4 linked regions of the Arabidopsis thaliana genome follow. The protein of the gene in region 4 interacts with the protein of the main gene of each other region in a pairwise test. Each region holds a gene or a part of one and is shown on either strand. Other genes may lie near its edges. The genes, in order: RFI2, MYB84, AT4G22250 and AT4G32295.

Region 1 (8,599 bases), on a different chromosome or scaffold from region 4:
GAACAAGGGAAGACGAGCTTGAATTGCTCCCATTTTTCCAGAATCTTCTCACCACCACCCACTACCCACAGGCACGTCTCTCTTTCCTTTTTTTTTATTGGGTCCCCTTTATTTATTGCATTGTTATCCATCTAACATATAGAAATCACGGATTTATTGACTGAAACAAAATTCCCCTCACTAATTTGTTATTTTGCAAACAAAAAAATCAGTTAGATTCATGTCAATATAGCTAATCTATGTACATGTAAAGAAATTTCATTGAATAAAAATAGAAAGACACAAACATCACATAAACTGTTCTAAGGTAATCCTTCCTTCCTTTGTAAACATACAAATCCAAAAGTGTAGAGGAGGTCGTCATCAATGACATAAGATTCTAGAGTTATAAGTGTGGATTGAAAAAGTCAACCTCTCCTAGAAACGAATCTCATCTTTCCTGAGACGACGACTCAAAAGAAAAGACTTTTTACGTGTAAACGTATCATTCGATATTAAACTACTCCCAAAACAAATAATTTAAGGACATGTACAGACAAAGCCCACCTGTTTTTATTAATTTTCTAAAACCCATAACACCTTTTGACCAACTAACTCTCAATCCAATTCAACAGGAGAAGAAGGATCAATAACAATAACAATAATCAATCCCCTTATGTTATAACTAAATCTAGTTGCTGGAAACAGAACCATCTCCCTCCTCATCAGATTTTTGCATTACCATCTACAATTTGGAAACAGTTATATGGTGATTATATACATGTCAAGAATTCAGAAACAAACACTTGAACTTTCATTATCACTCTCTTCATATGCAATTTTACTCTTGTAATGTTGACCTTTCTTTTTGTTGTTTTTTTCAGAAAAATATATATGCAAAATAGTATTCTCAATATGAGATCCAACGTAATTAACTAAATAATCATTAAGTGATTAGTGGTTCAACATTTACATATATACATACTCTCTCTTCTTGCCTCGAGATTGACCGACAATTCCATAACTAACCGGAAACCACATATGTTACCAAAGACACAAGCCTAAAATCCAGAATCTCAACAAGATTAATATATATAAAGGAAGTAAGAGAATGCTGACTTGTTGTTTCAAAACACAGAAGGCGGCTTCAGACAGTTATGATACTCGAGCTGAGACATCTCTCCTCCGTGTACTGGATCAAAACTGGCCTTTGTAGAAGCTGCAAAACACCCAAAAATCAAACAAAGCTGCTGATCCGACTTGTAGGACATTATTAAGGTTAGGGTATGGTTCTCTTACCTCCCATCCATCCCAAGAATCTGTGTTCTTCTCATGTCCAAATGCCACTATGTATTAAGATCCTTCGACCAACCGGAACTGAGCCACTGACAACTCTGAGCTGAAATACTTTGGTAACACTCCTATATGGACAAAGAGCAAGGTTTGATGATAGATAAGAATGATGACGTCTCAAAATGCTACGGAGAAACTGGTTTGGGGTTTAAGGTATATGTACCTCTGAGTAATGATAGAGATGATGACGGTGATAAAGCAGCATGAATTGCATCAGGTGCCTTTCGGGATGTGTCCTTCCCTGGAGATCCAGAATTGATTTTCAGACCGACAACATGAACAGTGGCCATGGGAATCTGAAGATTCTGGAGAAATCTGAAATCAGATAAAAAAAGGTAAAGAGTAGCGTCAAGACGAAGAAGAATATAACTAAAAGCAATTTGGTTAGAGAGGTTTCTGTCGCACTCCTGCTTTTGCTTCACGTCGTCATATTATTCTACAGCCGGCCGTCTCATTTTTATTTTGTAATTGTTATCATCTGAGCCGGATTTTACCCAACTCAAATCATTCCACTATTTGAAATTAGATTTTTCTTGTAATAGTTAATTTCCAAGTAAAATCGAAAGTTATCAAACCAATTCATATCAGTTTGTTACTAAAAAGCTAATAACTGTTAACCTGCAAAATCCTTTTATGTACTTTGTTTTATGGGTAATATTCAAATTAGAATAAATTTTGTGTAAAATCTGTGGGTTCTTCTTATTTAAAATCTGTGGGTAACTTTAAATATTGGGAAATTTACTAATGGAAAGGCATAAAGAAATGAGGACCAGCCACGTCATCAAATCAAAGTATCACATTCCTCTTTTCTTTTTATTTAAAGAAATTAAATAATAGAAGAAGAAGATACCAAAACTCTCTTTTTCTGTGCAAACACTTTGGAGGATTCTTCTAGGCTTCTTTCTACCACAAACACAAGAGCGCGTTTTCTTCACGCCGGCGAACAACGTCAGAGTCATGGCCACCGGAGATGGGAAATCGGTGATGGTCGTCGGAGTTGACGACAGCGAGCAGAGCACTTACGCCTTGGAGTGGACGCTCGATCGTTTCTTCGCTCCTTACGCTCCCAATTATCCTTTTAAGCTCTTCATCGTCCACGCCAAACCTAACGCCGTCTCCGCCGTTGGTCTCGCTGGTCCCGGTACGCTCTTTGCTTTCACTCTCGAATCTACTCTTCTAGGGGTTCTGTTTTGGGCAGCGATGGGGAGAGATCATTTAGGTTTTGTTAATCTGTGTGTTTTAGGAACTGCGGAGGTTGTACCTTATGTTGATGCTGATCTGAAGCATACCGCTGCTAAGGTTGTCGAGAAAGCCAAAGCAATTTGTCAGAGCAGATCGGTACGATCTTGCTATTATCAAACATTCAAATTCGTTTTATGTGTTTCTTGGATTTTATAATCGTCATCATGTGTTGTATTGGACTCTATTAGATGAGTTTGGTAATGTGAATGTGAATCTCTAGCACATTTAAGAGCTTCAAGCTAAGTAGCACTGGTTTTTCTTATAGTAACTATCTATCTTTGGTTAGCAACTATCTTCTTCTTTTCAATCATCATTCCTAGGTTTGTTGTGTAGGTTCATGGCGCGGTGATCGAAGTTTTCGAAGGTGATGCAAGGAATATCCTATGTGAAGTTGTAGATAAGCATCATGCTTCTATTCTTGTTGTGGGAAGCCATGGATATGGAGCTATCAAGAGGTATTATTTCATTCAGCCTTAATTCTTATGATCAATCTTTCAACTATACACCCATTCTGATTCACTTGTCGGTTTGTGTGGCAGGGCGGTTCTCGGGAGTACGAGTGACTACTGCGCTCATCATGCTCATTGCTCGGTGATGATCGTGAAGAAGCCTAAGATCAAGGTCTGAAACCTAAGGGAAGGCTACTCGGTCAAAGCAAAGTCTCTGCATAGTCTTCTAATTCAGAAGAATAAAGTGAAATAATATTAGCTTGATGTGAAACAACGATTCAAGACAATATACATTTGCATCTATATGTGTAATTGTTTACTACATACAATGTTTTGGTATCCTTAGACAATCAATATTCGTGTGTTATAATATGCTAATCTTTCTCATAACAAAATGGATGTGAAAGTTATAATAAACTTCATATGAAAGAGACTAGAGAAGAAAACAAATCAACTAAATAGAGATTAATGATTTAAATGAACAAATTTATAGTTTGGTTGTTGGTTCAGATGGATGGATGGTTTGATGATCATCTATCCAAAACTAAAGTAATAAAATAATAATAAAAAATTATCCACAATGGGAGAGGAAAGAAAAGAAAAGGGAGAGTCCAATGTCATTGTCCGGTTTTGAACCACGTCATCTCTAACAGGTCGGACGAGAGAGAGAGAGAGAGAGAGAGGAAGAGGAAGGATAGATTTACCGCATCGGCGTTCCAAAAGGCAGACGAACTCGGAGAGACAGATAGCGATAGCGAGACATGGTTTCTCATTGATTTTTGTTTGACAATCCTTTCTTTTCTTTTTTTTTGTTCTTTCGAAAAACGAAAATTTTCGTTGGTTCCCTCCGATTTGGCCTGCTGGTGAAGATATGGCCGGAGCTAAAGATTCGGGTTGCGATGATGATCTCCGAATTGCTGGTGGATGTGACCCTGGAAAACGCGGGAACCCGGAGGATTCCTCGTCTCCTGTCGAAGTCTCGTGCTCGATTTGCCTCGAATCGGTGCTCGATGATGGTACCAGATCCAAGGCTAAGCTCCAATGTGGTCACCAGTTCCATTTGGGTATTTCATTCCCTTCCTCCATCTCTTACCATTTTGCGTTCCCTCCATCACAGTTTGATGATCCGATGGCTTTTTGCTTGTACAAGCTTTTGTGCAATTATCTGATGGTAGATTTGGACGATAATTGAATGAATTTGAGAATATAGATGGATTCCTAATCCCTTGCTTTGTTTACAAGCTTAGATTGCCACGACTCTGCAGTTGGTTGATCCTAGAAATGATCGAGTTCTGACAAATGTGTGTCGTAACTTGTGAATCGGTTTCTTCTCTTGTGTAGATATAGAATGAGGCTTGCTAGTTCTATTATCTGGCTGCTGAATTTGTTGCTATTTTCGGCTTTCCCTTTAGCAGCTTGTTTTTTGGTTTCTTGCAGATTGCATTGGATCAGCATTTAACATGAAAGGAGCCATGCAATGCCCTAACTGTCGCAATGTCGAAAAGGGTCAGTGGTTGTATGCAAACGGTTCTACTCGCCCCTTTCCAGAGTTTTCCATGGAAGATTGGATCCCTGAAGAAGACTTGTACGGTTTAAGCTATCCGGAAATGGTAAAAGCTCACTACTTTGTGCAACGATATGCTTTCTTTTCGTGTACATGAGAACTGTGCTTTTATCATATAACCTCCTTATGAGAGATCGCTTATCCTGACATTTTTACGGGGTTTGCAGCAATATCGGGTCCATTGGTGCCCGTTTGGTGAACTCTCTCAAGCAGCAGCTTCTTTCGAGTAAGCCTACAACACCTTTACCATGGTTTTTGCTATTATCTCTCTTTTCTAAGGCTTTTGATCCTTCAAACGCGAAAGCTAGAATTGACTTTTGCTCTGTGTTTCAGGGAACTGGAACCTGCAACCACTACATGTAAGTTAGACGCTGATTGTTCTGTATATAATCATTTCATTTTGTCTAGCAATCCGTTTATAATGTCAAAACCCATATTTCTTCCTTAGATCATACTGAGTTCCATGGACATCACGCCGCTGCTGTGAATCATTCGTATCTTGCATATGTTGGACCTGGCCCAGCCGCTACCCCGAGAACTAGCGACAATAACAGCACAGATGATCATCCCTGGAACAGCCACTCTAACGATCACTTTCACCAGCTTCCTGTTGCCCCCCAGTATCATCACCATTCCCCATCGTTTTCACTACCCGCTGCTCATGTGGTTGATGGTGAAGTTGACTCTTCAGCAGCACGAGGCCTACCTTATGCGCATCCATTTCTTTTTAGTCACCGGTTAGCTTCTCAAACTCCCTATTGCTCTCAACTTCTTGCAGAGTGTTTTACAATATTCTTTTGGAATTGGGCATTGTAGGTCTAATCAAAGGTCCTCACCAGCAATTAACAGTTACCAAGGAAGCAGCACCCAAATGCGTGAACAGCATCATGCTTATAATCATCAGAGGCAACAACATCATGCCAATGGTCCCACTCTCGCATCACCTCTCATCTCCATGACAAGAAGGGGATTACCGCCGCCGCCACCTCCCCCACCAATGCCAGATCAGAACGTTGGATTCTTCATTTATCCAGGTGGACACCATGAACCAGAAACCGATCAAATTCATGCATGGGAGAGAGATTGGTTCCCACATTTCCCTGTCCCATCGAATCATCGCACGATCCCTAGCTTGTGGCATAGACACTTCTGAGAGAAGTTGTGTCAGAACTCTACAGTCGCCTGGGAGAATTCTATCAGGCTTAATGATCAATGTATAAAAGAAAACTGGGGACTTGTTTGATCGATCAAAACTTGTTTATGATGTAACTATAACTGGTTTCCAATGTACATTGTGAGCTTTCCAAGAACAATTGTTATAATTAATTAAACACAAGTTATCGACAAAATGTTGCCATTGTTCCTGGTTGGATGGAGTAATAGTGAAGAAGTAAATGATCCACAATCCACATGTCCATAATTCAGGTGGAAAAGTATACGTCTCAAAGAGACGATTTAACATAAAAAGAAAGCAGAACATGATTGGATAAAATTGAAAACTGAAAAACAATCAAAGCGTTTAGAGATTCCAAGATACAAAATCTTCCATGAACCTTTTATTATTCTTCTCTGGAATCGGATGAAGCTTGAAGGAGGATTGTTGAGACTAGTGATGGTTGTGAGTCCCATCTCCGGCTTCTTCACCTTTCCTCGAAGCTGCTCTTAGTTTACGCTGCTCCTCCTTGTATATCCTGTTCCTTCTTTGAAACTGCAACAACAGGTACACAACACATAAAAACTTAAACTTACAGCATCTTCATTCAAAGTAAAGAAACCACTGGTGTCAATCGTAATGTTCTAAGAGAGCCGTGTAATTGCAGAAGAAACAGTTGTAACATGTACAGAGATGATTTAGTTCCAGAAACGCCTAATCGATACATCCTATCTTAAACAAGAGAACATGATCTTTCAATGGCATCTTGATTCTGCAGCTGAGGATTCCGAAAATGGCCAATCAACAAAGGCATGGGACTCATTTCCCAATTGCTCGACCTGATCTAGGATTTTTGGAATTTCGACAACTAAGTGATCTAGACATCACAATCACACTGATCTAGCCGGAAACAGTGGCGAACATCAGAACCATCAAATCAATGAAATTCTTCAAACAATATCACCGGAAAAAAGAAGTGGGTACCTACCTCTTTGGAATGGTGGAGACACTCGAGGTAATCTTCACGAAGAAGGGTACAATCTTTGGGCTCTCTGCAGTGAGACATACATTCACTGAAATCCATCCAGAAATCGTAGCATCTCCCTTTGTTTCCCGTTATTCCCCATCCCGACGCCATTTCCTCTCCAACCCAAATCGGAAGAACGCAACAAAACCAGACAGGTTCGTCAACTTCATCGAAAATGGTTCGGGTTCGGGTTTTTGGATGACCCGAGATATCCATTAATGGACTTTTTTATTACTGGGCTATGAGTGGGCCGGTTCTATTTGTAAGTTTTTTTCCTGCTTTTTTTCAAGTGTTTTGATTGGCGGCACTTTTTTGCCCATGATATATATATGTCCTTTCCTTAGTGGGACCTAGGTAATTCGCGGCAAGCTCTCCAGTGTGTGTATACACCCGCACACATTTTGACTAGTCAAACCTAGTCAACTTATTAGACTTGAGAGATCAACGAGCGAGCTAAACGTACGCTCGTCGCACCTGATCGACGCTCCCCTAAAACCCCCCTAAAAGCGTAGAGAGGAAGGATGTGATTGGCAGTATTAGAAATACCAGAGACTGGACTAGACTCTGTGTGTAGAGGAAGAGAGACAGTGCTCCGCGTACGACAACAATGGCGGTTTCTTCGCCGACTTCGTCTTCCAGCTCTTCTGAATCGTTACCTTTACCCTCCTCCAACTTCGCTTCGCTTCCGATTATGGCGATGAAAAGGAGAATCATCGACAAAATCCTCGAGAATCGCGTCACTCTCATCGTCGGCGAGCCTGGATGCGGTACCTGCGCTCGCCTTCTTCTTTCTCTTATTCTATTTTTCTTCCTTCGTTCCGAGACGACTTACTCTAGTTAGTAATCTGCATTTCCGTTGGGGTTTTTGTTTTTGTTTTGTCGTCTTCGTCATTTTGATTACAGAAATGCTCCGTTGGGGTTTCTTCCTGTATGACACCAGATTTTGAATGTTTTCTGTGAGTGGATAGTCCATTTGATTCGTTTCTATCTTAACGCGTTAAACGGAAATAGTACAAGTTGGGCCATATTTAGCTTCCCTGCGCCTTTGAACTGTTGTGATTGTAATGGATAGCTGGATTTTCGACTCATCTCATACGTAGTGTGGTTACTTACTTGTCCTTCTTTGCTTCAGGGAAGAGTTCACAAGTTCCACAGTTCCTTCTGGAAGCAAACATGGCTCCCATTTTGTGTACACAGCCTAGGAGATTTGCGGTTGTAGCTGTTGCTAAGATGGTTGCTAAATCTCGCAACTCCGATTTAGGTGGAGAAATTGGTTACCACATTGGGCATTCTAAGATTTTGACCGAAGGGTAACTATCATTATCTTCATCTTCTTGACTTATAGAACAATATCTCCTTTCAGTTTCTTCTACTGTGTCCGAGTTTTCAGGACAATATTTGGCTTTTTCCCCCTTATTGATGACTTTTATGCAATTATCCTGTTGCATGCAGGTCGAAAATTCTGTTCAAAACTGCTGGAGTTCTGTTGGATGAAATGCTAGACAAGGGGTTGAATGCACTAAAGTACAAGGTTATCATTCTTGATGAAGTGCATGAAAGATCTGTGGAGTCAGATCTTGTTCTTGTCTGTGTTAAGCAGTTTCTCATGAAGAATAATGACCTCAGGTTATAACCCTTTTCTACAACATGATGTAATTACTTTAAGGTTCTTAAATTGTTTCGCGTGGTTGTGTTTGCTGATAGAAGATAAGTCAGTTCTATACTATACCGATTCATTACTTCAACCGTGTTATCATCGATAACGTTTGTATTGAGGTCATGGTTATTAAAGAGGTGATTTGATTAATTACAGGGTGGTCTTGATGTCTGCA
Region 2 (8,171 bases), on a different chromosome or scaffold from region 4:
AACCAAGTATGAAGTATGTAGACTGTAGTACGATACATGCATGCAAGATTTGGTCTATAATGTCATGACATAGAAGTTTTTTCTTGATAGTTTGATTCAAACTCTAAGAATGTAGAAACGTCTAGCTGATGAGTGGATGTGGATTCTATTGTTTCTCATACAGTCGTATGCCATATTTTTGGTTAGCTATAAAAATCTAGTTTTTTTCTTAACATATAATATATATATATATATATATATATATATATATATATATATATATATATATGAACCACTTAACGGTCAATTTTTATTTCGACAAAATATGATTATCATGTGAACCAGATTTAATAAAATTCAGTTCTGTTTGCCATAAGCAGATGACAAGAAATCGTCAAACACTAGAACAATTGGATTATTCCATTTCCACACTCCTTTTAACTAAAATAAAATTTCGTTCCCACAAATAAAAAAGTGTCAATATCTTCTGTTACAAACAGATTTCTTTTAGTTCTTTTTGACGTCGAGATTTCCTTCTTTTAAGACAATGACATTTTTTTAAAGAAAAACTTTGGAATTTTTTTTAACGTTCTTCTAGTGCGTGTCGACATCGGCTGGATTATTGAATCAAAATTAATTATGTTGTAGAAGTCCTTTTAATTATTTTTATTTGACAAAGTCTTTTACTTGTATGTAAGCAAATAAATAAAAGTCATTGTTAGTTGTCGTAAAGCTATATGTCGCCAAGCCAATCATTGTTTTATATGGCTTTGTTTACATAACGTCGAGGGGTTTTGACAGAATGTACAATTAGTTATCTATTACTTAAGATTATTTTATCTAATCCTCTTAGTTTTATAGTAGTGTAGTTTTCGTTCCTATATTCTTGATTTTTTGTTTCTTGATTTCTTCTTCTCCGTTATTATTCTCTTTTCCTTCTTTATTGCTTTTTAGCTTGACCCAATACAAAGTTAACGATATATTATTAAAAAAAAAAATCAGCCATGTTAGAATTTTTAAATTTTTTGTTAATGTTCTTTTGGTGTGTATATGAATAAACCATTGTATCGTTTAGAGTATTTTAAAGTTATAAAAATTTGTTTTCTTTTGGTTGTCATTTTTTGTCTTTTAAATAACTAATATAATAATTAATGAACTAAAAGACACAAACTCATCAATGTTTTCGATATTTTCTTACTTATTCAGAAGTTTTTAACAGTAAAAACAAATTTCTTTGATCACTCTTAATCGTCTAAAGCGGGAGGGTAGAAAACTTTAGTGATTTGTTTGGTTTTTCTACTATACATCTGTTTTTTTTTACTCTTATATAATGTAGGATTACAAATTATTAAAAATAAAAAATTCTCTCTTCTTTTTTGTTTTTTCCAACTTCAAATATCCAACAAAGAAGACCAACCAGCTTGAAAAGACTGTAACCAAAGTGAAGAAGATAATAAAGATCTCTCTTCTTTAATATATGTTTTAGTTAGTAGTATACTTATAAAAGATTACTTGCATTTTAGATTCATTTGACATGCACATGATATCTACTTTCATGCATTTTACGTAGCTAGCTTTGGCAAATGTGGAAATTTATATGACAATAAACTTTCTTTATATTTCTATGACATTTCGTTTTTACACTTTGAAAAAGAATATAGTTTTTTTGGTAGGTAAATGAAAAATGGTTCAAAGGTGATTATGTCGCATGCCAATGACACGTTCTACAATCCACTGAATCACTAATGCGAGTGGCTTACGTGCATGATTTTCATCACTAGGTCCCTTTCTTCCTATATCACGATTAATAATATATTACTATTACATAAAAAAATACTTAGATACGTACATTAGGAAAAGAACTTTTCCACGCGTCTTAAGATTATGACTTCATTGGAAGACATATTTTGAAATTTTGATAACGAAGTGTACTTTGAAACTTTCAGCTACATTCATATATACAAGTAAAAAGCATTTAATAAGGTTCTTGATTGTGATAAAAGGATATGATATTTACTATTTAATTAGTGAAATTTTGGTGAGTGATTTAGGAATATTAAATTAACGGCAAAAAAAATTGAATAATTATGTTTGTCATTTTGCTGTTTGAAGAGAATGTTTTGGAACATTCTTGTCTTTCAGAGAGTACTTTTGTAATACTCTTAAGAAGAAAAAAATGATGCATTTGTTTTTGTAATACTCTTTGAAATCGTTATCTATAATTCTATATATCATCTCATTTGTCCTATATCATCTCATGAGTCATGAATATATGAAGATCAAAGATAATATCTAATTGAACCGTGAAGTCTAGTCTACTTCTAACTAGCCTTCTAGCTAGTACTGAATGGATTGTTTGATCAACAAAAGATTTTTTGAAGCGAGAGTTTTTATACGTATATTTCAAGCGACAGTGTCATTTTAGGACTTTCTAAATTTGATTTGATTTTTGAATAGGCAACGAATGTGCCAAACTCGTAAGGGAAAGAGAATTTTCGTATGACATCATCATTTGATTCTGTGAGGAAATAAGAAACAGACTAGTGACTTGCTAGGAATAGAGAGGTCATGTCTTTGAGAAGTTCAGAGTTGCACACAATTCATTTATTTGGTGATCCAAACTTTTCATTGGTCAAATGGTTAGGTATTAATTCTTATATCCTTATAAATCCATCTATGTTAATTCTTACTTATTATTAACATCAATGGTTTCCAGCTAAATGCTTCGCACAATCCGACATTGAGGTAAACATAAATTATTCGAAAAAGTAGGATGAACATACAATCAATTAAAGAAGCATATATACAATCAATACATCCAACCACGTACATATGGATCCGACCATATATAATCAGCTCATATGCCAAGGCCCCAAAAGCACCATTAATATTTTCCCATTTTAAAATGTGTATAACTTTGCGCCCAATAGGTATATTATGCGTGTAAATTTATGTATTATCATATTGTATACATAATGGAAACGTAACACATCATGCACAATATACTCTTAAGTGTTAACTCTTTTCACATAGGCATCCATACATATATACATACATGCATATTACACGTTCTTACTTTAAAAAAAAAAAAAAAAGTAACAATAACAAATTTTGTTTATCTAAATGTGATTACTTCGCTAGGATCTTTCGCATATGAGTTCATACTTCTGCATATTAGAGTTAATTTCAAATCCAGATATATGAGATATCAATAAATTTAAACAAACTAGATCGTTATTCCATATATACGTTACGTACCCCCAATTAATAATAATGATGTACGTTTCATCTTAAGAATAATATATTATTATAATTAAAAAAATTGCTTTGAATCAGAATAAACAAGAGAGCTTATGTCTTCCCAACTTATAGTGCTTTGATCTGCCGAAGTACTTGTGGAGGCTCCTGAGAACAAGTTTACGGTTTCGGCCTGGAAATTCCCGAACCACTGATTATCATTACTTGTATTAAGCAATGGAGAGTTTGTGTTGGCGCTCAAGATAGAGTTCATGGAGAAACCCTCGCCTGATCCTAAGTGGTTATGATTAGGATCTAACAAGAGTTGAGAGAAAGAGAGATGATCAAAAGCGTTTGTCATTGAATCTTGATGATGATGAGGGTTTGTTTTCTCCAGTTCTTGATCTTCGATCTTGACCATGTTCTTGATGAGCACTGGCTTAACATCTTCTTGGTCGCAAAACGAGTTGGTTTGATTCATGAAAAGAGCTGGAACTTGAACATTATGATGATGTAGTGGCCATGTGAACATTGTTTGGTCTTGTCTCATCATAAAAGAAGTTTGGATTTGTTGTTGTTGGTGTTGTCTCTTCATCATCACCATCATCTCTTGCTGCTCCATACAAGCTTCTTGAAGCTCCTTGCGTTGTTTGTTAATGAGTTTCTTCTTGAGCCTCGTGTTCCAATAGTTTTTTATATCGTTGTCTGTTCGTCCCGGCAATTGAGCAGCGATTATAGACCACCTTTAATTATAGACATCATCACATAACTATATTTCAGAGTTTCCACATGATATTTTAACGATATATACATGAATAACGTATATGAATAGTACCTGCTACCAATTGTAAGGTAAAGGCTACAAATGATGTTTTCTTCTTCCTCAGAGAAGCCACCATGTTTGATGTTTGGTCTAAGATAGTTAAGCCACCTCAGCCTGCAACTCTTTCCACATCTCTTTAAACCTTAAAACAACCAAGAAATAATCATATAAACAAAAAGCATCTTTAGTTATCAATACTTCTTCACAAAAAAAGAGATAGATCAAGAGAGAATTATCAAATTTATATGAAAAAGAGTGACTATAAATTTATTAATACCAATCTTTTGAGGCAAAGCGATCCAATTGCCTCCGGTGCCACTATTTTCAATGTAAGATTTGAGTTTTGCATCTTCCTCAGGAGACCAAGGCCCTTTCTTCACGTTTGCTTTGTCACAACACGGTGCTCTTCCCATACTTGTACTCCTAGTGAAGTCTTGTTCTTAGTCTTGTTCTTGATAGCGGCCTCTGTTTATCTCTCTATGATCAAGATTATATATGTTGGTGGGTATGATGTTGTGTAAACTATATAGGGGAAATATTATGTGAATGCAGAAAAGAAAAAAGGAGACTATATAATAGCTGGAGGGGGAGATGTCAAAAAGTCTTTGTAAGAAAAGATGTCAAAAAGTAGGAAAGTTGTAATAAAAATAGAAAATCAAAAATCAAAAAGTAACTTTAGGGAAATTTAAATGTTTTAATTTATTAATTCAACATAAGTAAATACTATACAATAGTGGAATTAAGAAATGGTAGAGAAGATAAGGAAGACTATTGCACACGCAAGTCGTCAAAGAAATTTCTCACAAGTTTTTTCCTAGCTAATATTATTGATATGTGCAAATTCAATTTTCTTTTCTTTCACATCGGGAAATACAAATACATATTTTAAAAAGTACTTTAGTCTTTCTTTACACTAAGTTACTTATGATAAATTAAATATATTATGTATTGGATCTTTTAACTACTTCTTTGCAGTTGAAAATGAAAGGATGCACCAAAAGTAGATTGAAACTAAGTATAAGGGTAAAAGTTCGTTATGGTAGGTGAACAAAATTGCCAAACCGAAGAAATTCTACTCCGGATCCGGTAAACTTATTAATCCCAGGGTAAAACAATAAGAAAGATAATACATTACTCTAAAGAGTGATATCAAAGATTGATTAATTGAAATATTTGAATTACCTACACACTCGCTTAATAATCATATCATTACGTAGTATTTTCTATTTTGGTCACATGATACATCGTTAATACTTAATATAAGTACTTTTCGAGTTTCTGTTATATTACAAATGGGAATCTAATCTTAACAATCACGATGAACAATCTACAAATGATTCTATAACGGTAAGTTCTATCTGCATCACAAAAATATCTGATAGACGATTCTATTCACATAAGATATATTCTGAGCTAAAAAAAACTAGACATAGACATATATTCATTATTGTGTCCAATTTGGTAAAACTGATTTTACAAAAAAAACAATTAACTTTTTAAGAAAATGAAAATACAATTTAGTTTTACTAAAAATGAGCTTGAGTAGAAGAAACCGAAGCAAATAATGTCTTTTGCTTTGGTTTCGATTTATATGTTTTCTTGAACAGAAATCTCATACAGCCAATGAACTGTGGTTAAAATAAAATAAAAAGTACTAATAATTTACTGTATACTTCAATTGAAACTTAATGACTGACTCTTCTAGACGAACGAAAAAGGTTGACTTTAGTTGAGATTGGACATTAGGGTTTTAAAAGTCAAGCACTTGGAGAAATAAAGTCATAAGCGATTCAAATTATTGAGTTTTTTCCTCATTGTTATATGTTATTTTATACAGAATTATCACTGAAAAAGTAAATAAAGTTTTTTGAACTTTAAAGCTAACGTTAAAGAAAGGAAATTTTTTTGTTCAGATTTCAACACCATTGCCCATTGGTAGGAATTGGTCTTGAGCGTAGGCCATCTCTTCTTTTCCAATTTTTCATAATATATAAAACACAAATTCATAAAGTTAGATAAAGACATAAGAACATCGCCCCTATTGATTTGTACTTAAAATATCTTTATATCATCACCTAAATTTAAACTAGCATAATGCATGGTGTTGACAAAAAATTCATATGATTATAGAATGATACAATGATTGTAGTTTACATTAGTATGAATATTGAAAAAAACAAAAGGCTAAAAGAAGAGGTTTGGATATTTTGAGTAGGCATTTTTTTTTAGCTCTTCAATAATTTGGTCTACTTTTATTAAGGACCCAATAAGTCTTCTGGAAGTACTCTAAAGGTAAAAAAAAGTTGTTCACATGAAAAACACACCTCTCTATCTCCTTTCTTTTTCTATATTTAAAGATAATTCATATAAGACTTAAGTTTCAAGTCATCCTCACTACTTTTTAGATTAGTTTAGTAGATAAGACATGTTATTATCTCGTAATCATGAGATAATCATGACATCTTTTCAGGTCGTAAACAAGTCCAAGTCCACGCTTCTTAGAGATTCGAATCTAGCTTGCTTTCTCCATCCAAAAACTTAAGTTTGATTTGTTATTTGCCAACATTTTTGATGACTGATAAGTTCTGGTTTGAATCTGATTAAAATGTTAATACTTCACTTTTTAGTTTTTGATTGTTAGATATCAATGATGTCTCAGACTTTAGAGAAATAATTGGATGTAACCATCTAATCAGAAACAGAGATCTAAAGATAATATTATTGGTATGATGCAACAACATCTAATGATCTTGAACCAGCTAAGTTCTAGATCAACCAGATTCTAAACAATCCAACTCATAGTTTCACGAATCAGAACCACAGACCAAAGAAAAGAAAGCAAAACCAAGCAGCCGAATTGATGCAATGCATTCGCCTGGCTTAACTAAGATTCACAGTCCATTTCATGTTGTCTTCAATCAGACCCATCTGCAAGCTTGTCAGAACGGTGTAGAGTTGCTTCGACACAGTTCCGAAGGTACCTTCTCCGTAAGACACTCTGTGTGTGTATTCGGAAAAAGGGGAAAGCTTTACCACTTGGTAGGTTTGGTTTTCACTTAAATTGGGATACAAAGAAAAAACGTTTTACCTTTTGCCTTTGTAAGTGACGCTTCCAACAGGAGAGACAACCACGGCGGTTCCTGTGCAGAAAACCTCGTCTGCTTCTAACAATTCATCCACTGTCACATTCCGTTCCTCCACCTGAACAATACCGTATAAACATGCACTGTGATCAGAAGCCAATAATAGTACTTATGATCCACTTTAAAGATGTTGGGAATTTAAAGAAGGGGAAGAGGTCACCTGAAACCCTTGTGTTCGAGCCACGTCTATCATACTTTTTCGAGTAATACCGGGTAAAATGGTTCCTTTTATTTCAGGAGTAGATATCACATTGTCCTGGCAAAGAAAAGTGTTGGTTAAAAAATCATTATGTAAGAGAATCAGTATCTTGATATGTTTGTAAGAATGCCCCCAAAAAAACATGGTGCCAGAGTCTCAATCTCATCATCTCCTACGTCTTATGAAGAGAGACATCTTATAGACTCTACAAGGCATCATCAGATTCCGAGAGATTGATTTTTATTTACCTTCACGATGAAAATATTGCAAGACGAGACCTCCTCAAGATATCTTTTGTAAATGCAATCAAGGTACAAAACATCGGAATATCCTTTAGCTTTCGCAATTGACTGTGCCTTCAGTACCTAAATAAATAACTTGTATGTGTGAGTTACGAAAGCTGGTCCAATAAAATCAATAAGTGAAATAAGCTTTTACTTACTGCAGCATAATTGCCTATGGTTTTAACACCTCCGGTACCACCAGGAGTTGCACGGTGAAATTCATTCTCCACAATCAAATTGATAGGTGCCACACCTTCCTGACATCATCATATAAATCCGTATCATCATTCAGAGAAACATACAACAAATCTTAGATAGTTGGAATAGATCGAAGTAACTCTGAAAGACCTTGAAGTAGTTCCCAACAGGCGAAACATAGATAATGAAAGTATATTCTGGTGCAGGCGCAAGACCAAGAACAGCTCCTGTTCCCATTAGCAATGGTCTAACATATAAGGAACCTTTACCTGGTGGTGGAACCTAAAAACAAGACACCAAACACAAGT
Region 3 (7,534 bases), 3.8 Mb from region 4:
GCAGATTACAAATTTATTGCGAATTTATCATCTAAAAGACTAAAATATAGTAATAGAAAATAAAAAAAATCATCTGCAAACCTAAACAAAAGAATGTATTTTTGACAACAAACTATATTATTACTAACGGTAGTTAGAGCGGACAAATACGTCAGCGATTTAGTCCGCTCTATTTTTAAAATGGGCAATAAACCGTTACGAACTAATTATATTTGTATGTAAAAACAGTCCGTAGTTAATCTGCAGTGGTTTTTTTTTTCTTTTTTAAATTCGCACCTATACAAATATGAATGATAAATAAAAAACAGTTCAAACCGCAAACGAATTTGTCCGCCTTAACCGTTGCAACCATTCAAATCCTATATAGCAAATATGTGCTACAATGATAAAGAGAGACATAGAAGAAAAAGAAAGTAATAAAACTCAGTTTACAGATTATTCTTCATTGTTATCATTATTATTGTCTCCTCCACTTTCAGTTTTGGCTCTGATTCATGCTCTCCGCATCAAACCCTCCACCAAACTGTACATAACAAAACACAGTTTCAAACTTTCAGTTATATGAGAAATTTGGTCAATTTAGGTTTCTTATGTTCTTGTCTGAATTGAGTTTTTCCTTTACCTGATGGTCTCTAAATAAATTACAGAAAGAACAAACACATTCAAAATAGGGCTTCAGATATTGAGAAACTCTATGGCATATGCTAGAAACCTCGAGTACTATACTAACAAGTATCCCATACCATACTAATAGAACCATTTCCAGTGACTGAGTCCCTCAAAAAAAAAATGATAGGCATCAAGCACAGAGTGAACCAATTAGACAACAAAATGACAGTCATCATCTCGATTCTTATCGAAAGACCCGACGTTGCCGGGATAATTCTCATGTAACTCTTGCATCGGTACATAGTTTACTTTCTAAATCAAACAGAAGAGAATGAAATTCTAAAACACTTGAATTTTGTGAAAATCTGAGACACATTTCATAGGCCATAGACGAGATGTTCTGTAGTAGTTAAAAACATTATATTCCTTATCATCGAGTTAATAACAACGATTAAGAAGTAAACCTACAACCACACTATATATTTGTCTCACTTAACACAACGACAAGAGAGAGACATATATTTTGACCAAGTTCAAGGATTCAAGAGAGGGCTTCCTTCTTTGATAAGCACAAAGACACTTCCACCGTCTCCTCTAGAGATCCGAATGTCTTTGTCTAGATAAGTCGTGAGTAGCCAAGACTGCGCATTGTCCGCCGGCAAAGAGAATTTCAACGGTGGTTGGCTTGATATGGTTCTAGCCACAGACGAGGCTGTGTCTTGCACCGAGGTAAGTAACCCTCTGATCGGGTTAAGATCAATCTTTTGACCAAGAACCTCTACATATTCCGGTATCTCAATAGAATCCGTTAGCTGAGGCGTCCCAATTACGCCTTGCTCAAACTTAATCTGCAAGAAAAATGAAATCCAAAACATTACTGAAAACGTTTCAAGATGTTGATATCAGATCATGGTCGATGAATGGTCAATTTACCTGGACGCGTTTAGGGCTTCGGATTTCGAATTTAGCGTTGGTGCTAATCGAGTTTGTACCTAAAGGACCAGCGAAACGAACAGAGTTCTGGACGGTGAAGTTATCTGAATCAATGGTTTGAGAGATCTCATCGACTTTTATTAACGGTACGATTCCTCGTGATAGCAACGGGAACAAATTCACGAACGATGTGTAGCTGCAAAAGAGGTTTAACCAAATCAAAAGCAGCACGAGATCTACCATTTGAATCCAGAATCCTACGAATGATGCTATCTACAGGACTACAAGAGAAAGTTTTCACCGGAAAAAAACTTACGCGAGGATCCATTTGCCGTTGAGAAGGAAAAGAGCTTCCGTCGGAGCTGGAGTAGGGTTCTTAGACTCGAGCTGTGTGATTAGATCTCCGATTTCAGCTCTGGTTTCGCTCGATGCGCTTAAACCTCGATCTGTTCCGTACAACGAATCCACGAGCGATCTCTTTAGCCGCTCCGTCTCTTCCACGTCTTCAATTGCTTCCTCCGCCGCCAATAGAGCTGATCCTATCTCTCCCGTATCTGTGGCTCGGACTTTGAAAACTCTACGGGGGGAAACAGCGATTCCTCCGGTGGAGATCATCGGGCGGTGAATAATTGAGGTCACCGGTACCAGAAACGGAGGCTTGGAGATAGATTTAGAGTTCGGTGAGATTGAAACTCTGGTTTGGCAGCTAAATTGGGTGGACAATTGTACCGTCGCCATTTTTTTTTGTTTCTTCGACTAAAATTTCGAAGCTAGTGAACAAGAATAGACCTGTACTGATTTTATAGACATTGTTACGTAAATGTTTTGCTTTCATCAACTACCAAACTCACACCAAGAGGGATAATATCGACTATTCCACATAGATCATGTACATTCGACTACGATACTGCCACGTGAGAGACAAGATCAACGGCCAAGAATCCACTCGACGGTGTGAGGCGAGCATTGTTTAGGCTAGATAAAATCCAAAATAACGGTTTACTGGGCTTGAATAGACTAAATGGGCCTCGTGAACAAAAAACCTCTTGTATTCTTTTTTGCATTTACATCATCTTCTTCAATAACCAAAAGAAACGTACAAAGTACACAAACCGTAGTTAAAACTTTGGAAACGTATCTAGGGATCACCTCACTTACTCACGTGGATCGAGAACTTTTAGCCGTCCGATCGTTTTCAGAAAATATCGAGTATCTCAATGATCGGACGGTTACAAAGAGGACACGATCCACGGTTCAGCCACAATTCTCTAGAGCACACTCTGCAAAAAGTATGACCACATGGAATAAACGCAGCGCCTTTCTTTCTTCCCATACACACGCAACACACCGAATCATTACCCGTTAACGTCCCAATAGACGCCGTTAATATCTCCGTTTCTTTCCCGTCGTCATCAACGATTTTCTCCGCCGTCTCTTCCAACAATCTCATCAACGAAACTCTCCTCGGCGTCATATCTGCCTCCGCCTCCGTCGATTCTCCACGGTTATACCTCTCCGCTTCTAACGCTGTCGCGAGATTCATACCCGTACCCGATCCATGATCCGATTCGAGAACGAGTCCGGTTTCAATTTGTAACTCTTCGATTTCGTCGTCTCTTGAGGTTGGACTGTGAAGAGTGGTGTTGTTAGTTAGACGGAGATTCCAGGTTGGACCACAGCATCCGATGCATTTGAATCTCAACCGTTCTTTTAACGTCCGTTTCCTTCTGGTGAGATCGTGACCGCTCATCTGTCGTCGGAGCAAATCAAGAAACGTCGTCGTCGTGCGGTGTGTTTCCGTCATCCTCTGACTCGTTCCGAGATCGAGTTCACTCATCATCGACTCGGTAACGGAAACTCTAAACAAATTCTCAGATAGTGAAACAGAATCACCAGTGAAATAGACAGATTAGCTCCGCCATGAGAGAGCCCTGTGAGGGAGAGAGAGAAACTGTTTAGATCTTTGGGTCTCGCAGTGATGATGACATTATAAAGGAAGTTTTCAGAGTTTTTTTTTTCTCTTCACATTTCTTTATTTTTTTTGTTAAAGTTGCTTCCGAATATTGATTTCCCGCGAATTAAAATTACTTTATACAGTTTTACTAATTTTTAACAGTTATAACGATTCTGTTTGACTGGTATTCCACACAAAATTACAGTAGTAGTGGAATCGAGTATATTTGTAAAATATTTTTCCAACTTGAGTATATAACTTTCAATTTTTAAAAACCAATTTTTAATAAGTTACTTACATCATTGTTTAAAACTTAAAAGGTTAATCAACTTATAATTATGTGTAATTTACCGAGAAATGATGTACAGTGTACGCAATGGGGGCAACTATAATGTTAGTTCTTCTGAATTTCTGATAGAAAGAGAAAAAATAAATTTACTTAAGAGGAAAAATTTAATGCTGTTTCTGTAACTGTACGACTTAGTTTTAAAATTAAATAAAAAAGTCTTCAAGGTCTCGAATAGAAACAAAATCGAATTAGTACTTAAGTTTATACTCCCTCCGTTTCATAATATAAGTTGTTTTATACCAAATTTTTTGTTTTATAATATAAGTTGTTTTCAAGTTTCTATGCAAATTATATATTATTTTAATACTTTATGATTATTTATATTCTACAGTTTTTTTTATAATTGGTTGAACATTTTAAAAATAAATATTCTTAATATACGTATTTTTAGTTAAAACAACTTATATTGTGAAACGAAGGGAATATTACCAACAAAAAAGGTCCTCCATCGGAGTTCAAACCCTATTAAAGATTAAACAAATCATCAATCGAATAAAGGTACTATTAATGTAACGCTAACTCTGAAATAAAAGCGACGATCAAAGTATTCGAATTTGATTACTGCTAATTATACTAGACTGATGAATTCTCTTACCTGTGCTATAACCGGAACATGGTTTTTTGGTAAAACCTTTCTGGCGGGAAAACATTTTTGTTATTAAACCCGCGGAAAATCATTTTAAAAAGTGAAAGGCAAAGAAGAGACAAAAAAAAAAAAAAAAAAAGAAGAAAAATTAAAGAAGGCGCATGAATCAAGGCTTTTCCCACGTGAAATGTTCGCATAGACGACGTCGTCTTTGCGCCACACTCTCCCCAACAAAACCAATAAAAATAAAAGTGTGGGATATAGAGATTCTAAACGCTAATACCAATATGCTTTTTGAGAGAATGATACATTCAATGATTTTGTACTTTTAAACATTTTTTTTACTCCTGTGAAATAAGAATTGAAGAAACCGACAATGCAACCACAAAGGCTAGTAGTATGGATAAAATGGTCTACAACGACTTAAGCTCATCAAAGTACATTTACATCATTAGGGTATTTGATTCTCTCACACACTAGCACAACGATGGGAATTTCACATTATTCCTTTATTCCCAAGTATATGGGATTATATCTATTGTTCATGAGCTGATACAAATAATCTTTTTTAGTTTACTTTCTAATTTATTAACTTGTAATGGATTTCTTGAGGCAGTCTACAATACCTTCGCAATGAGCCTCCTCAGGAACAACACACCCTGATTCTTCTTCAGTATCATCATCTTCTAAAATGGAGTGTGGAGAACGCAGACTGCCTAGAGTCTGACAAGCTCTCATTGTCTTGCAGTGTTCTGCTTCATCATCTCTTATGTTCACAAACACATCGTATAGATTTTCTGCCCAACCGTAATCACAAAACAACAAAAACGTTATATAGATTCTTATTTTAACATCAAAGTAAGTCACAAACTGTGAATAATGCTTCCTCCATACAAACATAAGACAGAATCTCAGTCATTTATAGAGCGCAGAATCATAACCATGGATAAATCATAAACTTTTTTTTAGCATTTTGTGGTTCGACGGAATCAGAGATGGAAAGAACTAAACGGATATGAAATAGATTTGCTACCTATTACTGGTCTTCGAGTATTGGGAGTTCTTGATGTTTGGAACTCATCTGCAGACAATACAGGGCCAGTTTAAAAGACTACTAATCATAGGTAAAAACATCTCTACAACTCTGGAGGATATTGATAATTCCTGGAAAGACAAACTCACCAAATAAGTACAAGTCACCTCCCGTATAGTATTTTACTGCGATATCCGGTGCAGGCATATTCTTCAACTCCTCTGTTTAGGGAAACCAAAAAAAAATGAAGCACAACAATTCAGAATGTAAAGATCGTTGAAGAATTTTGTGTAATATTTCAAAGCAATAACTCCATTAACAACTTTAGTTCTAATGTAAATGGTACACAGAATGGTGGAGAAAGAAGAAAAAACCATTGGTAACCAACCTCCACTGGCCTTGAGAAATTTATCATAAGTCTCATATGCATGACTCTCCACACATTCCGAAAAGTGATCTGCATAGGTGACACAAGGTTAACGAAGTCATGTAGACCAGAAGCAATTTATTCAGCTACTTTCTAGAAGTTACGCGGAAAGGAAACTTACATGCCATTCTAGGGCTTAAGATATACAAGAACACTGTCATGAAGTAGTAGAAGGTTGCTATGTGCTGAGCCAGAAAACGATCAAACCACCAAGAATTTCCACCCAATTCCTGTGATTAGAAACATTTGTTTTACTATTACTAACTATGTGAGTAAAGAGTATGAAACTTGTAGAGAAGTAACATTTTGGTTCTTACTTCCATTATGAGCAAGTGATGCATTTCATTCCAGCTCTCAGCAAAGTGTACTTTCAAATAATCTGCTCTCCTCCACCAACCAAAGGTCTCATACATATGTAGCACAGACATAAACGCTGCAAGGAGCATATAGAAGAAACAAACATTATGTTCTAGCCTCGGAACAACTTTTCATTTGGTATCCAGATCCATAATTAGTGATAAACACACTAAAAAAAACAAGATTCGATTCTCAACAAATCCAATATCTCGATGACTGAATCGCCTTTTGTTGTTAAGAGTTGAACTATGCTTCTAATGAGATAAGAAAGAGTACATATTCCTCAAACACAACTATTTCGTCATTGTTCTTCTTCTGCACACATCTCAAGTGATGTTCACAATCTTACTGTCTTCTGAAGAATACAAAACCTAATGACTAGCTCTTAATGCTCTGCTCAATGTTTCTTGCAAATATTATAACGAACTGAAACTACAATTACAAATAGATGCACTTACCAAAATAAGGCACTCTAGCAATTGTCTCAAGAACAAAGAACCTTGCATATGTTCGGTCACGATACAAAGTGTCAAGTATCTTAATAACCGAGTCCTGCGGAGAAAACGAAAACAAGACAACAATCAGAAGACATGAAATAACTTCCGGTAAAATAACACAACCAAAAAATCTATATTTCTAGTAAGACATAACGTTTCAGGTAAATAAAAGAGTTATAAAACCTTACTGTAAGGAAAACATTCACTCCTTGCTCAAGCTTGATGATCCATGTCTCAAAAGCACTAGTTGAAGAAGAACTCATATTTGGCTCCTCAAGTGGTTCTGTACCAGTAGAAGTCTCGGCTTTAAACGATTCCTCCACCACCACTTTCTCTTCATCGTCTTGCAAAATCGTTGCTTGGACTCGATGATTGTTCCTGAAGTTTTCAAAAAAGTTCCAATTTTCAGCAAACTAGAAATGGACGAAACAAAAGTACAGCAAAATTCAAATCCTTTTCATAATCACGTGTGAACAAATCAATTAAATATTAGCTGTAGCTAGGCACACCTTAATAGCAGACGACGAGAAGAGAGAGGAAGATGATGAAGCAATCGGTGAGAGGAGCTGTACGAAACGGCGGCTCTAGAGCGTCGAAGAGTAACCAAAGGCCGTGAAATCGTCAACGTACCAGAGGAGATGCCTGAAATCGCCGCCATCTCCGTCAGGAACCAAAGATTTGAGCAGATAATTTCACAGGAAAGAAAAGTAAAAGTTGGATATTTTTGGTAGAAATGGAGAAATTTTGCGGGTTTTAGAAGAAGAATGACGAATCCCAATGTGAGCGGAT
Region 4 (8,332 bases):
CTCAAACTATATTATGGTTTATTATTATATGCAACAAAGAGTACAAAACTACATGTTCTACTTTGACAACAAAAAAAAAAAAAACTGTTTCTTAAAGATATTGTTGTGTTTTTATACAATAAATCATAAATAGGTTCTTATTTGGAGGGGTATGCTTATATAGTTTAATTTAAAATAATTGATATTGATTGTTCAAATGTAAAAAAATGTAGTTGGGAGTTAACTTGGTATTAATGACCCGCAATCATCTACGCCCATTCAAATCTTCAATTATAAATTATTCAGGAATTAGTTGGCGAATCGCCAAGTGTATTCCATATTATAATTAAAATAAAACTGTGAAAGCATTAAACGATTAAAAAAAAACAATTAAATAATTATAAATAATAAAGAATATTAGTAAACAGCAAGGCAATAGTAACGGATCAGACTGATTCGTCGTGGCCTAAACAGTGACAGCGCAAGAGGTCTCAGTCTCACTACGAACGTCCCTAAACCTTAAGTGCAACTTCCTCAAACATGCATCTTCCAATATTTATAAGTACATTACACAATATTTACACATTTATTTGTATGTCCATTGTCTATATATATACTACATGTAACTACGTTCTCACCTTGTTCTATAAGTCTTTTTCTTTATAATAATATAAGTCATTTTACTTATAACCTATAAGCTCTACTGATTTTGAATGTTTTTTGTCTCAATGATTTTCAGTATATCTATATATATATATATACATATATGTGGGACTTTTTAATAATTTTTTTTTTCAAATACATCTTGATATATATATATTCCTTCGAGAACTTATCTGAATTATACAAAAACATTATCTATTCCTTATATATTTAAATCTATTTTGAAACATTGAAGTTGTAAGTTCTTACGTATTCATTAATAAGATACTTAAGTAGAGTTGTTTCAAAATGAAAACTTCAATTCTCAAGCAAAAATGATCTATAAATGTTTCAATAAGATAATTCATATGAAATAAGCAAGACTTTGCTATATCAAAGGAAGTTTAATTTTTTGTTCCACTTCAAAAATTAAAGAGAGTATAAGTTCAGTTCACACATTGTCTATTCGACGATTCCTTTCCACACGAATAAGAAATTAAAGGAAAGAAAGAGCTGGTCTAAAGATCGGCAAAGCAGTTGATGGAAATTATTGAAGAATAATGTTATGAGAAGCTAGGGATGTCAAAATGGGTCAAAATTCATGAGTTAACTCAATTCAACTCAATCCATGAACCCTAATGAGTTGAAATTTTTGACTCAAATGAGTTGATGGGTCAAATGAGTTATTTGGTCAATTGGTTTGATGAGTAAAATGAGTTGGGTTGTAATGGTTAATGGTTTCAATGGTTTACCCAATTAACCCATCAAATTTTGTAAAATTGAATTAAACCAACTAAAATCTCTAAACCAATGTCAATTTAAGTTTAACCAACACATCTAAACCAATCTAATAAAATCAATATTTTTCCAAATTTCTTAAATATACAAGCGATGAATTGAAAAAAGTAAACTCGTAATTTTTCCACCAAAAAACATAATCCCGTGATTTTCCCGCCAAAAACGTAAATCCGTGATTTTTCCGCAAAAAACGTAAACCCGTGATTTTTCCGCCAAAAACGAAAATCCATGATTTTCCCGCCAAAAACGAAAACCCGTGATTTTCCCGTCAAAAACGAAAACCCGTGATTTTCCCGCCAAAAACGAAAATCCGTGATTTTTCCGCCAAAAACAAAAACCTGTGATTTTCCCGCCAAAAACGAAAACACGTGATTTTCCCGCCAAAAACGTAAATCCGTAAACGGTGAAATCTGTAAATATTCTAAGTTTGATGATAATGAATTAATAATTATTAATAATGATAATTATTTATTATTGTTTTATAATAATAATTAATTAAATTATTATTTAAATGGGTTAACCCATTTAACAACTCAACCCATCAAATTAAATGAGTTATGGGTTGACCCAATTCATTTAACAAAATGAGTTGGGTCAACCCATAACTCATTTGATTATGAGTTGAGTTGAGTTGGGTTACCTATTTTGACACCTCTATAAGAAGCTTTGCTTACTTTTTAGAATAACATTTGGATATATGATTCCTAATATTTAACTACTATTTGTATACTTAACTTTGTATATCCGTTGTAAGAAAACATGTTTTATATAAAAAAATACAAACTGTTATAGAATTAACATCTGTATTTCAAACTCGATTATTATAATTAAAAGCATGGACAATACTAATAAACCAAATCTCCTATGTTGACGAATATAAAATATTACAACGTCGTTATTTCATGTTACATCTAGATATGTATAACATGTATCATAATACAACATGATTTCATGAATGCATTATAAATTATTACGTATGTAGGCATGTGTGTTTACAAGAATCAGCAAATCTTATCTTAACATATCATTTAACAAAGTAAAAATATTATCTTAGCATATCGTGACATATATAGTCCGCATGTCGCTTCCACTACAATCATACGGATGATCTCTTTTGATATCATCATGATTCATGAAAGCCGTCAACGTATGACTAAGATTACATAATTAATCAATAATGGTCCAAGAAAAAATAATAATTATGTTATTATTATATCGTAACAAAACAGAATCCATGAGAACGGTCCTTTCGTGTCAAACCAATACGTAGAGAGTCAATTGGTTAGTGATTTAATAATTGGAACTACTTGGATCATCTTTTAGGTAAAGACATAAATTATAATATTTTGTTTCTTGTACATATATGTATAATAATGGACCAGGTTGGGTAATGAGAAAGAAAAGCTTTACTCATAATCCAATGAGAAATTACTTTTGTGAAAAAATTATTAAACTACAAAAAAAGTTGGCCCTTTTTAAAATCTTACTTTGCCAATTTTCAACAATGGACTGCTTGGAAAAATGCTGGTAAGTGTGTTTCGTTCCCACAGGTTGATAAGATTCGTATTAGGTGAAAACTGAGAATTGACGAGGTCTTCCAGGTTGTCAAGGAATTAGTTTAATTATGCTTTTGAAATTGAAATAGGTCCAATGGTTTATAACACACAATAAAATATCTTCTCTTCCTTTTTAACTACTAATATCTGCAAGAGCATTTGTATATCTACACAAAAGATTTGGTTGTTAAGATAGTTTTTGCATCTAAGATTTGTCCTCTTTGATTCAAATTCGAGTCTAATGTCGAACAGCTGGATCGTATGAAATCATATAATAATCAAGAATTATATAGTTAATTAATGTACTTAGAATCTCATGTTGATTATGATGATTAACGTCCAAGTTCACTCGGTTTTTCTGTAGAACAGACGATTTCAAAAATCTTCCACAAAGTTGTTACAAGTGTGTCTTATCTTCATAAAAATGCAAACGAAACTTTAAGTTCGATCCGTTTTACCGAATGTTCTTCAGCCTACTTGCAACTAAATGGGCCTAAATTGAGTTGGCTCAAAAAAGCCCATTTCATAAGGAGCCTGCTAGAGTCATCATCGGTCGCCGAAGAATCAGATGGAGTCTAACTAAAGTCTTTCGATGGAAAATCCAATGTAGGGCATTTAATATGCTTGTTGTGAAAACAGAGATGTGGAATGGATATTTCTCGAACAGTGTTGCAATGTAAAAATACATTCGTGAAGTCTGATGATTCGAGATTGATGCAGGTAGAAGAAAACGACTTCATCTCCTGTTTTGTTACTTCGTCTCTCTATTTACATGTTCACAAACCTAAACCTAGGGTCTAGAGAGGAGACTAAAAGGCCTAACTAAGCACACATTCTTCTAACACAAGACTTGCTAATCAAAACCCAATCTTGCTCTCCTTTTCAGTTGTTATTGTTGCTGCTTATCTTACTTCGTTTTTGAGTAGGAGGTCCAAGAGGACCTAAGCGCAGAGATAGATCACATTCACACCCACCAAAGGTAATGCCATTTGTTGCGTCAATGAGACTCGCCGGTCTACTGTTCTTGGACTTACACGAGTCACTGATTGGCCGGAATGAATAGCATAAAGGGTAGGCAGAGTACTTGGAGACAGGGCAATTCTCTTGTGCTACTGCAAGATTCTTTGGAGCAAAGTTGTTTGGTTTCATGAATACTTGGGACAACATGTTGTCCAAGTTAGTTGAGTCTTGGCTAAGATAACATCTCGGGTTAATGTTCCGTTGGCTCCTTGAAGCTCTCCTTGGTGTGCACCCCAAATGCAATGCAGCTACATAATAAACAAGACTTGCTCATTGATCTGAGCCAATAATCCCCGAAAGCTCGAATATACAGATTGTATTGTATACCTTCAATACAAGGCTGAAGAAATTCCCCTGTTTCGGTGGTCTCATCAAGTCGTATGATTGTGTTGATGGCGTCGTTTGTACGGTCTAAAAGGGTCTTCATGTCCATATACTCAGCCTAACATCAAACCCACAAGAAGTATATAAAATATTCATATTCCAAATGAACACATTAGCTACAAATCCACTCTATCAACTCCATAAAATCCAAGGTTTAGTACAGATTACCAGAGACTATCAGTCACACTGTTCAAAGAGGGCAATAAAAAGCAAAAAATGAAAATCGAAATACTATTTAGAAACAATCCTTTGTAATTAAAATGTTGGAAGAAAAACCTCAGAATTGGCTTTGGAATACATGATTTCTTCAGCTCTCAAGACAACAACAGGGAGCTTCTCTTGCCATTCTGTGTTTTTCCTGGTGGATTGGCTGTGAATCTCACAAACAATCCTACAAATAGTTCAAAGAACAATTGAGCTAAAGAAAGACATGCACACACACAAACCTATAGATACACAGATAGATATCCAAAGTGAGAGAGAGATGATGATGATGACCTGAAAATCTCTTGGATGAGCAAACCCCTCATGGGTTGGTGTCTGTCACTATGCCAAGCTCTTCTGATACAGTCGTACGGTCTTGGCCCTGGCCTCGGCATCTTCCACCACTTCCTTTTCTATGAGAGAGAGAGAGAGAGAGAAAAAAAGACAAAGTGAGATTGTTGTTCTTCACTAGTTTTCACTTCTCAATAATTTATTTGAGTGTGGTGGGGGAGAGAGGTAGTCCTGTCCAACTGGTCCGGTCCGGTCCGGTCCGGTTTAGTCTGCCTAAACTTATCATGGTCCGGCCTACTCTATGTAGAGTTGCAGTCCAATAATTTACTAAAATATAACTAAAAACTCTACCATTCACCAAATTATTTAGGAGTTTTAGGCAACTGTTGGAGTGATTTTGAACTGTCAAATTTAAATAAGACACGTGGATAACTTGCGTCAAATCACCCAGTCCAGTGAGGTCTCAATTGATTGCATGTCTTGTGAGGAAAAAAGAAGAACGACTTAAAAAGCATAATAAGTATGATTTTTCTCTACAAATCACAAAAGAAGATCGTATGATTGAAAGTAATAATAAAGGAAACAAAATGAAATCTTGTGAATTGCTTTCGTACCGCGTCTAATCTTTTGCCATAATTTTTCGCTGACACTGAAACATTCAAGATGACGTCAATCTCTTTATTATTAAAAGGGAAATACAAATTAAAATTTTGTTTAATTTCGCCTTAATTTTGATTTTAATTTTGGATTTTGTTCTTTGCTATTCAAAATCATTATGGTAATTTGGTCTTAACAATCTACTTAACTTTATATGATCCGATTCAATCTAAACCGTTCAATAAAATTAATTCCGTTCAACAAAAATAAGTAAAATAATTTTATTTTTTTTATCTTCACTTTAAAGACATATAATTATAAATAACATAATTCATATAGTCTTTACTTTTACTAAAATTACATACACATAACTAATTAATACATATTTTAATACATTCCTTTTATTACTAAATAACAAAAAAAAAAAAAATCCCAATTATTATTTAGTTATATTTAATTAAAAAGTTTTATATTTATAAGTTTAAAATATCAAATTCATTCAAAAATTTAGTATAAGAATCAAATAAACCGATTGTCCGCGAACTCCTAGTAAATAAATAAAAAATCAGTGAATTGACAAACTAAAATAAAATCTCGTTGCTGACAAATAAAGTAAAGGTCTAAAACATTACCGAAGACCCATCGTCCTAAAACTTTTCAAGTCTGAACTCAAAAACTCAAAATGAAAACCACCTTAAGGTTTCTCGTCGTTAGTGAAAGGCCCAAAAACTCAGATTTTTAAAGGCCCAAATCTATTGCATGTCGACCACGTGGACCACCGTACAGAGAAACTCGTATCCAACAAAGCTGTTGCCTTCGAGACGGAAACGTTTCCTAAAACGGATCGATTACGAAAATTCACGCAGCCACGTGATGTCATTAGAAAGCTTACCATCCAACGGTTTCCATCAATCCACTTGTAAGACTAAGAACCCTCCACGTAAATCGAATATTTTTATGACTCCTTCCTTTAATGTTAGCTTTGAACACACTAATCAAACGAATAAATTCTTTATACATACACAATCACATTATGTGTGGCCTATGATTTAGTCAGATTTATGACAAACTGATAAAGTACAAGAAATGATAACCAAATAGAATTCAATTCATATATACTCTTTTCGGATAAACAGTACAGTGATCAAAATTATTAGAATTAGTGGCCAAATAAAACTAAGAACGTTATGTATATTAAATGACAACTCGAGAGAAGACGAATACTTTTCTATATAAAGATGTAAAATTCCAAATATGAAATGCCATTGAATTATATATTTCTATAATTAGTGTACTCGAATTAAATATATAATTTCTTAACGTAATAATAAGATACAACAAGTTGCACCAAATCCCACTCTCTCACTCTAGAAACCAAATGTCGTTGATAATAATAGAACACTTTCTTTCTCTCTCTAAAAAGCAAAAGTAGTCTAGTCACTGATTTCTTCTAATCCTCCGGTGGAGTGAGAGATGATATCTCCGACGTTGTTTCCTCTCCTCTGCGCTTTATTTCTATGTCTTCCAGTGGCTGTTATCTTCACAGTCCAGCGAGAACTCACCTGCGTTATCTCGCCGGAGTTTGGTTTCCGCTCTCTTTCCGTCTTCTCTCTTTACTCTCGAAATGTCCCCGACTCTTCTTCTTCTTCTCCGGCGGTTCGGATTCGACAGCCGATTCCCAAAGAAGACGACCCTCTTCTTCGACTATCTTCTCGGGTTAACCCGAATCTACCTCCCGGTTCGACCCGGAAAATAGCTTTTATGTACTTAACGACGTCGCCTCTTCCGTTCGCGCCTCTTTGGGAGATGTTCTTCGACGGAATCTCCAAGAATCTTTACAATGTCTACGTTCACGCGGATCCGACCCGAGAATACGACCCGCCGTTCTCCGGCGTGTTCTTGAACCGGGTCATTCACTCTAAACCCTCGCTGAGACACACTCCCACTCTAACTGCGGCGGCGCGTAGACTACTAGCACACGCGCTTCTCGACGATCCATTGAATTACATGTTTGCGGTTATATCACCTTCATGCGTACCAATTCGCTCCTTTGACTTCACTTACAAGACATTAGTCTCGTCGCGCAAGAGCTTCATCGAGATACTTAAAGACGAGCCGTGGCAGTTCGATAGGTGGACGGCGATTGGGAGACACGCGATGCTTCCGGAGGTGAAGCTCGAGGAGTTTCGGATCGGGTCTCAGTTTTGGGTTTTGAAACGGAGACACGCGCGTGTGGTGGCGCGTGATCGGCGTATATGGGTGAAGTTTAACCAGACGTGCGTGCGGGAAGACTCGTGTTATCCTGAAGAAAGTTACTTTCCTACCCTTCTTAATATGCGGGATCCACGTGGATGTGTCCCCGCCACGCTTACTCACGTGGACTGGACTGTTAACGACGGTGGTCACCCGAGGATGTACGAGCCGGAGGAAGTCGTGCCTGAGCTGGTCTTGCGGCTTAGAAAGACTAGACCAAGATATGGTGAGGATGGAATCAACGGTTCGGAGTGGTCTAAGGTTGAGCGGATGGATCCGTTTCTGTTTGCTAGGAAGTTTTCACCGCAGGCTCTTGAGCCGTTGCTGGGTATGGCTCGAACCGTCTTGTTCAATGACTCAGCCGGTGGTGTGTGAATGGTTTCTCTAATGGTATTGTTGTAAATTCAGTTTTAGTTTTAGTTTTTTTTTTTTTCTTTTTTGTGGGGAAATAATAATTGTAATTTAAATGGGTAGCTGGGAAAAACAAAAACCCGAGTATACCATTATCGTGAGTAAAAAAGTAAACTCGTCCTACTCGAATCTCATCATAATCTTCATATTAGCAAATGGAACCAATTCATTACCAAATAGCCACATTGAAACCTTAC

What was found.
Region 1: the proteins of AT4G32295 (region 4) and RFI2 interact in a two-hybrid assay, tested with the Arabidopsis thaliana proteins (one large-scale study listed by BioGRID).
Region 2: the proteins of AT4G32295 (region 4) and MYB84 interact in a two-hybrid assay, tested with the Arabidopsis thaliana proteins (one large-scale study listed by BioGRID).
Region 3: the proteins of AT4G32295 (region 4) and AT4G22250 interact in a two-hybrid assay, tested with the Arabidopsis thaliana proteins (one large-scale study listed by BioGRID).

Annotation. Positions count from the first base shown.
Region 1 is NC_003071.7:19,549,647-19,558,245, reverse strand, and holds RFI2 (RING/U-box superfamily protein), read left to right. Parts: upstream 1-3,598; 5' UTR 3,599-3,894; coding exon 3,895-4,087; intron 4,088-4,460; coding exon 4,461-4,633; intron 4,634-4,754; coding exon 4,755-4,813; intron 4,814-4,920; coding exon 4,921-4,946; intron 4,947-5,035; coding exon 5,036-5,324; coding exon of another isoform or gene 5,325-5,403; coding exon 5,404-5,740; 3' UTR 5,741-5,932; downstream 5,933-8,599. Other genes in the region: GSTF8 (glutathione S-transferase phi 8), read right to left, coding at 1-33; AT2G47720 (uncharacterized protein), read right to left, coding at 1,107-1,198, 1,496-1,622; AT2G47710 (Adenine nucleotide alpha hydrolases-like superfamily protein), read left to right, coding at 2,290-2,473, 2,576-2,670, 2,908-3,029, 3,114-3,201; AT2G47690 (NADH-ubiquinone oxidoreductase-like protein), read right to left, coding at 6,194-6,295, 6,729-6,983; AT2G47680 (zinc finger (CCCH type) helicase family protein), read left to right, coding at 7,375-7,534, 7,900-8,077, 8,220-8,393, 8,581-8,599. UniProt on the Arabidopsis thaliana protein: Mediates phytochrome (phyA and phyB)-controlled seedling deetiolation responses such as hypocotyl elongation in response to red and far-red light. Required for light-induced expression of LHCB3 and CHALCONE SYNTHASE (CHS).
Region 2 is NC_003074.8:18,424,222-18,432,392, reverse strand, and holds MYB84 (myb domain protein 84), read right to left. Parts: upstream 4,659-8,171; 5' UTR 4,453-4,658; coding exon 4,317-4,452; intron 4,182-4,316; coding exon 4,052-4,181; intron 3,960-4,051; coding exon 3,293-3,959; 3' UTR 3,112-3,292; downstream 1-3,111. Other genes in the region: BCAT3 (branched-chain aminotransferase 3), read right to left, coding at 6,920-7,037, 7,128-7,240, 7,343-7,438, 7,630-7,746, 7,824-7,922, 8,014-8,145. UniProt on the Arabidopsis thaliana protein: Transcription activator. Positively regulates axillary meristems (AMs) formation and development, especially during inflorescence.
Region 3 is NC_003075.7:11,764,948-11,772,481, forward strand, and holds AT4G22250 (RING/U-box superfamily protein), read right to left. Parts: upstream 3,617-7,534; 5' UTR 3,383-3,616; coding exon 2,738-3,382; 3' UTR 2,508-2,737; downstream 1-2,507. Other genes in the region: AT4G22240 (Plastid-lipid associated protein PAP / fibrillin family protein), read right to left, coding at 1,143-1,457, 1,543-1,738, 1,859-2,280; IM (Alternative oxidase family protein), read right to left, coding at 5,020-5,228, 5,465-5,512, 5,614-5,685, 5,853-5,921, 6,013-6,121, 6,209-6,324, 6,707-6,800, 6,934-7,123 and 1 more.
Region 4 is NC_003075.7:15,589,606-15,597,937, reverse strand, and holds AT4G32295 (histone acetyltransferase), read right to left. Parts: upstream 5,051-8,332; 5' UTR 4,979-5,050; coding exon 4,878-4,978; exon of another isoform or gene 4,771-4,877; coding exon 4,656-4,770; exon of another isoform or gene 4,438-4,655; coding exon 4,323-4,437; intron 4,244-4,322; coding exon 3,858-4,243; 3' UTR 3,383-3,857; downstream 1-3,382. Other genes in the region: AT4G32290 (Core-2/I-branching beta-1,6-N-acetylglucosaminyltransferase family protein), read left to right, coding at 6,945-8,099.